Linked DNA regions of Arabidopsis thaliana. The protein of the gene in region 2 purifies or fractionates together with the protein of the main gene of each other region. This does not show direct contact. Each region holds a gene or a part of one and is shown on either strand. Other genes may lie near its edges.

Evidence for each region. Proteins that work in one complex are often made in the same cells at the same time.
Region 1: the proteins of EMB3127 (region 2) and PKT3 fractionate together in Arabidopsis thaliana (co-fractionation; one large-scale study listed by BioGRID). This does not show direct contact.

Annotation. Positions count from the first base shown.
Region 1 is NC_003071.7:14,046,962-14,053,339, forward strand, and holds PKT3 (peroxisomal 3-ketoacyl-CoA thiolase 3), read right to left. Parts: upstream 4,440-6,378; 5' UTR 4,023-4,439; coding exon 3,933-4,022; intron 3,521-3,932; coding exon 3,444-3,520; intron 3,336-3,443; coding exon 3,251-3,335; intron 3,169-3,250; coding exon 3,042-3,168; intron 2,953-3,041; coding exon 2,854-2,952; intron 2,781-2,853; coding exon 2,713-2,780; intron 2,633-2,712; coding exon 2,525-2,632; intron 2,436-2,524; coding exon 2,358-2,435; intron 2,241-2,357; coding exon 2,108-2,240; intron 2,014-2,107; coding exon 1,917-2,013; intron 1,750-1,916; coding exon 1,626-1,749; intron 1,534-1,625; coding exon 1,425-1,533; intron 1,138-1,424; coding exon 1,054-1,137; intron 963-1,053; coding exon 853-962; 3' UTR 517-852; downstream 1-516. UniProt on the Arabidopsis thaliana protein: Involved in long chain fatty-acid beta-oxidation prior to gluconeogenesis during germination and subsequent seedling growth. Confers sensitivity to 2,4-dichlorophenoxybutiric acid (2,4-DB).
Region 2 is NC_003075.7:258,448-263,113, forward strand, and holds EMB3127 (Amino acid dehydrogenase family protein), read right to left. Parts: upstream 2,843-4,666; 5' UTR 2,342-2,842; coding exon 2,161-2,341; intron 2,009-2,160; coding exon 1,683-2,008; intron 1,606-1,682; coding exon 1,369-1,605; intron 1,267-1,368; coding exon 1,099-1,266; intron 989-1,098; coding exon 818-988; 3' UTR 540-817; downstream 1-539. Other genes in the region: KEA2 (K+ efflux antiporter 2), read right to left, coding at 3,208-3,333, 3,407-3,481, 3,565-3,621, 3,715-3,891, 3,978-4,044, 4,135-4,193, 4,329-4,382, 4,545-4,666. UniProt on the Arabidopsis thaliana protein: Catalyzes the oxidation of 5,10-methylenetetrahydrofolate to 5,10-methenyltetrahydrofolate and then the hydrolysis of 5,10-methenyltetrahydrofolate to 10-formyltetrahydrofolate.

The sequences.
Region 1 (6,378 bases), on a different chromosome or scaffold from region 2:
CGAATATTTGACCAGATTCTTACTCGAAAAAGAAAATCAAAATTACTCCGTCAAATTCATGGAATAAGAAATGAATACGGTGCCCAAAAAAGATGAACCTACACAAATAAATGATTCAGTGGATTTGTTTTGCTCTGTATAGTGATCAAAGTCGGTCAATTCGCATAATTAATTGGTCAAAGCCTCAATAATGATTTCCATATATGATAACATTGATGGCTCGTTTTTAACACAAAACTGAGGGGATGCATTGGAACATGATTATAACGTCTTATACTGCCGTTATAACGTCTCCGGTATCAAAGACAAGATACTATAACGAAAAGAAAAAAAAATACTAGAAGGAACGTTATATAAATAGCTATGAGAAAATAAAATTATGGGGTGAGAGAGGCTCGAACTCTCGACCTCAGGATCACTCAGTAGCTATGAGACCTACGCGCTAGCCAACTGCGCCACCACCCCAACTGTTACTATTAACACTGTTTTAGTTAATGAAATTCAAGGTAAAATCATGAAACACAAACAAAAGGCAGAACCCTTGACTTTATGAACGTTTGACTTATCCATCGAAATATAGAAATGGCTGCCACCCAAAAAATCTAAAATTTCTAGAAGCAACAACTGATGAAATTCGAGAAGAACAATATTCTTACATATAAAAGATTTAAAGATTATCCCCCTTCACTTAAAAAAAATACTAAACACATGACCTGGTCAAGAACAACACAAGACTCAGGCAAACATTGGTTGTGTGCTTTATTCGAAACTATAATAATATCTGAAGAAAGTGACAAGAAGACCAGAAAAGAGAGAGGTGAGGTGAAAAACGGTTTTGGTGCATGGTCCTCTCTAGCGAGCGTCCTTGGACAAAAGACCTTGCGCTTCAACTTTCCTTGCGTTGCGAAGCTCATCAACTCCATCTCCTCTCTCAAACACAGCTGCTGCACCCATCCCCGTCCCTGCCAGAGTTTACCAAATCAGTAAAACCATCCCTCAGACACATATTTCAGACACCAAATTCACAATGAATTATTCGAGTGAGAAGCATACCAATGCACATTGACACTACTCCAAAACGGCAGTCTTTACCACGGCGTTTCATCTCGTGCAACAATGTAGCAACACAACGCGCTCCTGTGAGAGTTTTAACAAGTATTAGCAACTGTTCATGAGCGTTTTATAATTATATAGACACAATGTAGACATTGATATGCTTTGAAAAGGACGGACTGCGGCAAGATAGAGCTCTTGTAAGTTGGTTAAAGAACCATTAGTGAGGACAGAGTTTATAAAGATATATCTCGGCTGTGGATTTCTTAAGGTTTGGTTGAGAGTTGAGAGATTCTCATTAATTCAAGTCTCTATGGTTTGGTAAATTGGAACAAGCTTAACAGTTTTAGTCCTGTTCTTAACAGATATACCTGTAGCGCCCAAAGGATGGCCTATGGCCATTGCACCTCCGTTGACATTGATTTTCTCTGGGTCAAGTCCCAATTTGTTACGGCAATAAACAAACTGAGATGCAAATGCCTGAACACACAAGGATTCAAACAGATGGTCATCATCAGAATGTGCGGGAAGAGATATGTGATAAGAAGATCATGAAATTGTTTGCTATATACCTCATTGATCTCAAACAAGTCGATGTCATCAAGTTCTAAACCAGCCGCCTTAACTGCAGCAGGAATGGCAACTGCTGGACCGATACCCATGATTGCAGGGTCAACACCAACTGCAGCAAATGTCCTGCAATATGTCCAATAGTGTGCTACTTAGAAAAAGCCAAATACAGAAAGAACAATGTATTTTCCACGTATACTAGCATATCTGTGTAAATGGAAATCACAAGCCTCTGCAGTTTTTTCGGTTTTCAGACTTCCACAGTCGTAGCTTTGTAAGTAATTATTACCCACCTGAATACACCAAGAACGGGAAGTCCTTTTTGCATTGCAACACTTCTCTTCATTAGGAGAACCGCTCCTGCACCATCACTTACTTGGCTGGAATTTCCTGTTTGCGACAGAACAAATGAAGCAATGGATTTAAAATTGTGATAATAAGAACTGTGGTTTCCATAATGAAACAATTGATTCGGGAAAAGTACCAGCAGTAGTGGTGCCATCCTTCTTAAACACTGGCTTCAGCTTCCCAAGAGAAGCAAGAGTTGTGGTTGGTCGGATACCATCATCAACAGAAACTGTAATGGGTTTCTCATCACCAGTCTTCGGGTCAACAAGCTGAAATTTAAAACACACGTTATTGACTAATACTAGAACATGAATGAAGTTCAGTAACTAATCCACCAAGAGAAGTCTTAAATGTTACAGTTATTGTATGAAGGATCTGAAAAATACCTTGGTCTTAACAGGAATGATCTCATCCTTGAATTTACCAGCAGCAGTAGCAGCAGCTGCCTTTCTGTGCGAGTCAACCTAGCAATATGACTCCATAGCTTAGCATAGCGATCAAAGTTATAGGTTATTTAAAATACAACCATACTGAAAAAGTTCAGTTCCCTTACAGCAGCTTGATCTTGCTCCTGCCTTGAGACACCAAAGCGTTGTGCTACATTTTCTGACGTAACACCCATAGGAAGAAGACAATTCTGCGCTTGTGCAAACTTCTTCACCTGAAATAACATAGTCCGTATTATAGTACGTATTAAAATAACAGAGCCAAGTAAGACTCCAGATAAGAGAGAATCAGTACCGCTGGGTTGACTGACCCTTCCCATGCCATTGGATTGGTAGTCATGGACTCCAAACCAGCCCCGATACCTGCATCCATCATATCGTCAGCTCGGTTCTCTATGAAAAAATGTGGCGTAGTTAAAGACGGTTATTCACTAACCAATGTCATAAAATCCCGCTTTAATGGCAGCGGCTACATCAGCAACAGCCTGAAGCCCAGATGAGCACTGTCTATTCACAGTTCTGACAGCCACGGTTTCTGCAAATGAACATAACAGGATGAGCATACAGGAAATAAAAACAAAGACTTTTCACCATTGTATTGTACTGTACATAGAAGAAACATACCAGGGAAACCAGCATAGAACGCAGCCATCCTGCATTCACTGGCTCTCTGAGATCCAGGTGCCAAAACAGTACCCACAACAATGTCACCTACTTCACTTGGGTTTAGATTCGTCTTCTCTATCAATGCCTATGTCAAGGAAGAACTATCTATAAATAGACGTAGAAAGGAAATAAAAACCAACAACAGAATAGAAAAGATAGCGACAGACCCTCAAAACAGGTGCGAGCAAATCATCGGGATATGTATCCTTGAAATTGCCACGTTTGGACTTGCATAGTGGAGTCCTATGTGCCCTGCAATGGATCAATAAGTGTAAGTCTATCAGAAAGAGACGAGAAATCTTCATACGTTGCTGAAAAACCAAATACCAAAAGAGTAAAAGCATAAGAGATGGGACTTACGCGACAATGACAACATCATCTCCATAGAGAGAGGTCCTCTGATATGCAGCACTGTCCCCAGCCAAGCAAGCAGAAGCCTGGGAATTTGGAAAGAACACGTTAAAGAGATCACACGTAGTAATTGAAATCAAGCTTTGACTTTTAAGAAATCATCAGTACATGCAGAGCACGGATAATTCAACCCAATCGAACAAAAATCAAACAACAACAAAAAAAAAAAAGATATCTATCTCAATCCAGTGAACGAAATACAAAAACAAAATCCAAGTCTTGAATTTGATCTCAATCGAGCTGAAACTTAAAATTTTCAGCTCACAGGCACGCCTCGAATCAAATTATAATTCAGCATCAAAATCAAAATCGAAAATTCCATATAATGAATCCAGATCAACAACGATCCATAATCCCCAGACTGCAAACACAAGAGAAGACAACCAAAAGATCGCGATAGATCGAGAGAGAGAGAGTGTGTGGTGATAGAATGCTTACAGATAGAGAAGCCTCGTAATTGTGCGAAGAAGAAGAAGAAGGTCGGAGATGCTCAAGAAGAACGCGTTGTCTCTCGATCGCTTTCTCCATTTTTTCCGGCTGATTAAAGATAAAATTCGGATCTGTTGTTTTTTCTCAGAGAAGGATTTGTTCTACACGAAAACTCACAGTCCTCGGGTTTGTGATCATTTATAAGGTAAGATGACTCACCGCTTTGCCCGTTCCGGGTAAATGATAATCCCAAAATAAGTAAGAATAAAAAATATCTCTTTTTCGTAATATTTCTTTGCTTAAACGACCAAAAAATATCATCTGTGACAGCGATACAAGTTCTTATCCTATAGTTGTAAAATCCAAATCAAACAGTTTTTAGCCTAATGACCTTACTCTAATTATGAATTAAAATGTTCACACTGGTTTGGTGATTGTTAATAGTGTGAAATAATTGATGATGAGAGTCATAGTCATAGATAAGCTGAGAGTGTGATAGAAGAAGATAAGATTAGGCGTGACGTTTGCCCCCGCCCGTTTTGGGCTTTGAAATGCGTGCCGTGTTTTTCATTTCCATCTTCTGGATCTTAATCTTCTTCATATTTACATAATAACCCCAACTATTTGTATTACTTCTATTTACGCCTTAAAGTTGCTATTAATTCTAAAAGTACCCTTCTTGAGACTTGATCGCTATTTTCTTTTTACGTTTTACCAACGTAAAGTTAAAGCCCATATGGTGTGATAGTTTGCAATACTATGGGCTCGGCCGGTTTAAACGAAATAAGAACGGATATTGTATAATAGTGAAAACTACATTTTCAATTAATAATGTTATTATGCGATTGACAAGCAGATGCAATAGTGTTTGAATAAAATTTTTATCAATATGAACTTTACTTAGGCATATATATTACCAATAATGACAATATGGCACTGCAACAATGCACATCTGCGTAAGGTTAGCATGTCAAGATCTCTTACACGCCGTGATACCAAATTTATATCGACTTGCAAATATGGGAGATTAAAGCTCTCTTTACTCAATTTTACTCAATCTTACAAACATTTGTGTGGTACTTTCCGGAAGTTTTCCGACATGTAATATTGAAATTAGATCGTGTAGAGAGTTATCAAATAACAAAAAAACTCGAGAAACTTTGTAGTTTTGTTATGTATCAGACTAGAAATTAACTCTAACTGAATGGAGAGATTAACATTGAAGAGGAAGAAACAAAACTGTACGTGATCAGCTTTACATTGTGCTTGTCTATCTTTACATTGTGATTATTGTAATATCGCCCTAATATTTTCGCATATAGTTGTCCATTTAACCTATTAGAGTGAAACATCTATATATTAATACTTGTCAATTTAATAATCATTGTAAATTAATAAACTTTTCCGGTTCAAAGTTGGACGAATATAATATATAACGTAATTGGATAAAAATGTTATTTGTTTTTCTTTGAATTTGTTTTAATTTTTGTGAAAAAGTCATTTTCAATATTTTTACTACATCTAAAAATTAACACTTATATAAATCAATAAAATATTTTATTCCCCATGTTATTAATTTATAATTTTATTTTACTGTATTAGCTCTTACATGCAACATCATAGACTTCAGTTTTATTTCTAACAAGATTATTTAATCTTAAACATCTATCCAATGTCTAATTTTTGTGAAACAATATAATATCTTATCAACTTTAGTTTTCAATCTTATCTTTTTATCTAATATACTTTGAGTTGGCAAACAAATCCTATGCAAAGAAGAGACGAAATTATTGAAAATGTTAATTTTCTTACTTAACCATACTAAATATCTTTATTCTATCATTTACTATATTCGTTATATTAACATATCTATGTTTTTTGTAAAGACAAAATGTTAACCAATAAATTTTACATTTTTAATAATTTTGTTTCTTCTCTGTATATATATTTTTTCCTGACTCAAAATTAAATGAGATAAAAAGATAATTGAATCTCTTATATATGATTTTAGGGTAAACATTCCCATATCTTATTCTTTTATATTATCTTTTTTTAATAACAAATACACATGTAAACTGTAAAGTATACATTTCTTATCTATATGAATGAAGTATAAATTTATTTAACACATACAAATTTAATAAATCATAAAAAATACCACGTGGAACTGTAATGTATAATGTAATGTGACACAATATACAGTCAAAACATTCCAACTTATACAGATTTATATAGATTCAAGCGGATATGCAAAAAGAAGTAGAAAAAGAATGAATCCTACATTTATTTCATAATTTATTAGTAGTATATATGTACATAAAATCATCTTATTCCATCTTAAAAGGATCCTTTCATAATATTATTCCTAAGTATTTTCCATATGGGTGATAGTAAAGATTGCGTTTCCCATATTTGTTAAATAAATACATATATTCTTATCTTGTAACTCTATAAA
Region 2 (4,666 bases):
TTATATTCTTCAGAGAACTCTCTGTCCCCAAAAAGGATTACTGCTAAACCAGGACTGATTAGTTTCTCCATTCTTGAAGTTTCGACTCTGATCTCCTGCATGATACTTAGTTCCACAGCCGTTTGATCAAATACCATCGCCTCATCAGCTGAACAGAAAAGTAAAATCTTAAGAGTTGGATATCTGAAAATACGTAAGCAATTGGATGAAAAGGTTTAGTCTATACAAGAGGAGCGAATGGAGAGAATGTGGCCACGTCCGGGCACAGTGGTATAAGAGGAGCGCATGCGGCCACGTCCGGGCGCAGTGGTGGGAAAGCTTGAGTTGGCTGACGCACCAGCGGGGCAGGAAAGCACCGTTGAGGCGGTTCAAATCGATGAGACGCGAGGTCGTGGAGAAGGAGCAATCGGTTAACATCAACGACGCCATTATTTTACTAGGAAAACAGAACAGTGGTCGTGGCTTCGAGCTCAAGTTAGGGTTTAACAAAAGTAATGTAGAACAAGTGACTGTGTTTTCTTGTTTCAAATTAACCTTCGTTGAAAGGTAGTTATAAATAAAGTATAATGACGAAGAGACCGATGGGTGAGGCTGGGATATATCATAGCTGGGATAAGTTAAAACTAGTTCTGACTCAAAATACCAAGAAGAGACAAACAATGTTGAAGACAATTTATGTGACTTAAAAACTACATGTTTTGTTTCATAGAACAAAACGATAACTTTCTTTAAAGACCAAAGTAAATCATTGGCTTCAAAAAACAGAGTACGATTTGTTTGTTTCCCAAAAGGCCAGCAATCTTCTTTTTAAGTGACGTCACTGGAAGTTGTGAATCCTCTTAGCTGATGTTAAAGTGTTGGATAGAAGCATGGCTATGGTCATTGGTCCTACACCGCCAGGAACAGGTGTGATGGCTGATGCAACTTTGCTAGCCTCCTCGTAGCAAATGTCTCCAACCAATCGATATCCACGCGCAGCACTTGGATCCTGCAATTCATATTATGTACATGTATGAATGTTGCATACTGGTTGATTTGAAACTTATTATATCACTGAATTACGCCATGACCATATGTCAAAAAGAAAATTCCACTCACCTCAACAGGATTAATCCCAACATCGATGAGGACTGCGCCCGGTTTTATCCAGCTTCCTCTGACCATGTTTGGCTGTCCAACAGCTGAGATTATAATATCAGCTTCTCTTGTGATTTCTTCAGGGTTCTTGGTTCTTGAATGGATAATGCTAACGGTTGCATCCTCCCTCTACAAATACAAAACACAACAATAAAGACCAAACATGTAACTAACTTTCGAATGTCACAACCAGAAAAAACGGCATCTTAAAGAAGGTATCATCATCATTACCTGCAGTAAAAGAGCAGCTGGCATACCGACAATGTTACTCCTTCCGATAACAACCGCTCTCTTTCCTTTGATTTCAATGTTGTATCTATGCAACAACTCAATGCATCCTTTTGGAGTACAAGGAACGAATAAGGGTTCTCTTCCACGCATGGCAAGCCGTCCAATATTTAGCGGATGAAATCCGTCAACATCTTTCTCTATACTAACCGCATTCAGTATGTTCTGTTCATCCATATGCTGCAACAACATCCCAAAACACTATTGTAATTCACTGTTTATTTAAGTTCCGAAGAAAGTTATTAGACTTTGTTTACCGATGGCAGAGGCAACTGAACAAGGATTCCATGGACAGAAGGATCATCATTGAATCCTGATACAGATTTCAACACCTCTTCTTCTGATGAATCTTCAGCTAGACGAACTTCGAACGATTTGATTCCAACGGAGTCACAAGCTTTCTTCTTGTTCCTCACATAAGTTGCAGAATCTTTTCTGTCACCAACAAGGATTACTGCTAAACCAGGAATCACACCAATTGATTCCTTCATTCTTGAAACTTCAATTGTGATTTCATCTCTAATCTTTTTTGCCACAGCCTTTCCATCTATTACAATTGCGCCACCCTCTGATTTTGTATCAGCTGTACCAAAAAAAAAAAAAAAAATTTATGATTCCAACATGAGAATAAAGAAACTCAATTTTCCAGGGAAGAACAGTCTAATTGTCTACAAATTTCAATCGATGTCAAGTTCAAATTTGGTGCTCAATTAAGTCAAAAGGTTTAATCATTACCGGAAATGGAAGAAATGGGAGAAGAAGAGGAGCGAATGCAGCAGCCACGGCCAGAAGCAGTGGTCTGTAAACGGAGTTGGCCGACGCATTGACGGAGGAGGAAAGTACCGCTGCTTCGGTTCAAATGGATGAGACGCGACGTCGTGGTGGAGGAGCAATCGGTAAACATCATCGACGCCATTTTTATACAAGGAAAACAGAACAATAGTCTGCTCGTCGTGGCTGAGTTAAAAAGGAAGAAGGTAATGGTGGAGACAGGAAGACTAATGAAGTCTTTTAATTTGTGATCTAGAGCAAAGCAGAGCAGAGAAGAGACGATGAATTGAAGAAGATAACTTCGTCGTCTACGGAGAGTCGGAGAGACTAGGGTTTCTTCTTTTGATATCAACAAGGGTTTAAGTTCATTCAAATCACAAAAGAAACCGGTTTGTTGATTTCACCTGAATTTTCCGGTTTTATTATACCAGTCTTTCGTTTTCTTTTCTTTTTTAATAAATCCAATCGGACCGCTTCATATTTTTAGTAGCTTTTTAATTTGATTAGTCGTCTTAAACTCAGATTAATCATGTAATTAACACTGATCAATATATAAACAATACATGTAAGTTCGTTGACTTACGGTCTATTCTCTATTTGCGGTCTAAAGTACCACACTAGATATATATACCCTTGTGATTTAACTCGAGAGCTCCAACAATCAAAGCTAAATGTACTACAAGTGGTATCAGAGCAAGTCATGTTATTGCGATTGCCAAGATTGTTGAAGGGTGAAGCAAAGGTAGAAAGTACAGACAAATAGTGTCGGATAAATGAGGGATAGATTCACATATTAGACCCAATATGTTGAATACAAATATTATTTGCCTTTGTTTTTCCCCCAGAGGAAAGAAACTAGAGAAATTTCAACACATCATCATCCCATCAAAATTTTGAGAGTTTGTTACTTTTTCTCCGCTAAGATTCTTCAAAATAAGGATTTTGGTTTCTGTACAGTTTTAAGCAAAAGAAGTTGAAATTGTGTGGTCTTACCAGAAGCGAGAAAAAAGGTTAGATAGCGAGTGTGCCTTCAATAATCTGGTTATCGTCAGATGTTTCAGATGGTGATGGTGGTTTTGGTTTGCTCGTACTTCTTGAGAACCCGTAACCTAGAGAGCTTCCACTTGCCTCACATAGCTGTACCATCATAGGATCCATTAAACCGGAGAGTAAGAAGAATTGTAGTTTTTTAAATAGACCAAATATATACCTCAGCTAGTTCAGACAAGTGACGAGATCTGAACTCGTTGATCGTTGTTGCTATTTCTGATGTAGGTAATTTGGCCTGAAAAAGAAGCCGACAAGTTTAACAAATACCCCAAATAACATTGTTGGTGACTTAATGACTACAAGAATTATCTCTTGTACCTGTGCAAGAACAGCAGCTGCTAACTGAAGACTTGGTTCCAGCGTCTCAGGAACAACCTAACGAGTTTTTGTATCGAGATTTTAATCAGTTTACTTTGAAAATGTTGTGCAATGACAGAAGGAGAATAGAAAAGTTGTGGAAGTTATTACAGCGGTAGCGCCGGCTTTTTCAAGATTGAGACCATGATCAACGTCATGTGCACGGACAAAGGTTTTGACATTGGGGAAATATTTGCTAAGAGCCCAGACACACCTGTAATTTGCTCCAGGTGTGTCTAAAGCAATAGCCGCAGCACATGCTCTATCTGCCCCGATTTTGTGGAGTACCTGCACGTATAGGTAAAACAACGTCAATAATTTTGGATGATGTGTGGTTATACTTTTGACTTGTTTCATCAGCTTTCTACTCTTACCTCTCTACTACCAGCGTCTCCAAAATAAACTGGAAGATCTAGGGAACGACCAATTGCTACTCTATCACTGTAAAATAAGAGATTTTTGGTGCGAAATGAGACAAATAAAGAGCTGGTTAGATACATTGAGCAAGACAAGGCAAGCATGTTACATTACCTGCTGACATCGAGGGCAACAAATGGGATAAGTCTTTCAGAAAGAAGCTGAGCGATTATCTGCGTTTAACATTTAGAAAGCAGCGGTCAAAGACGAATTTAATCATATATCACCAAACTATTCTCTAAATCAAACTATCTAAACTTCTAGAGGAGTTTGTTTTCGCAACAAAGTTTATAGATAACGATACCAACCTGCCCAATTCGTCCAAATCCGCAAATAATGATGTGACCCTGTAAATCATCCGTCTGCAAGTAAATTCAGAAAGTAAAGGATCAGTCATTTTTACCCCAAGAATGCATGAGCTTCGGAAGGATATTGAGGTCAATCATGGCTTTATTGTTTTAAATTTACAATTGAAACTAGGAATGGTGATAAATGACTTATTTTAAAGTGTTGTGAAGGAGTACCTCGCTTTCAACTGGTAATAAACTTCGAACATCTTGTAACTCAAATCGAGACGCAATTAATTGGCCGCCAGCAGCTAACCAAGGAGTAAGAGCCATTGATATTCCCACGACGAGAAACAGTA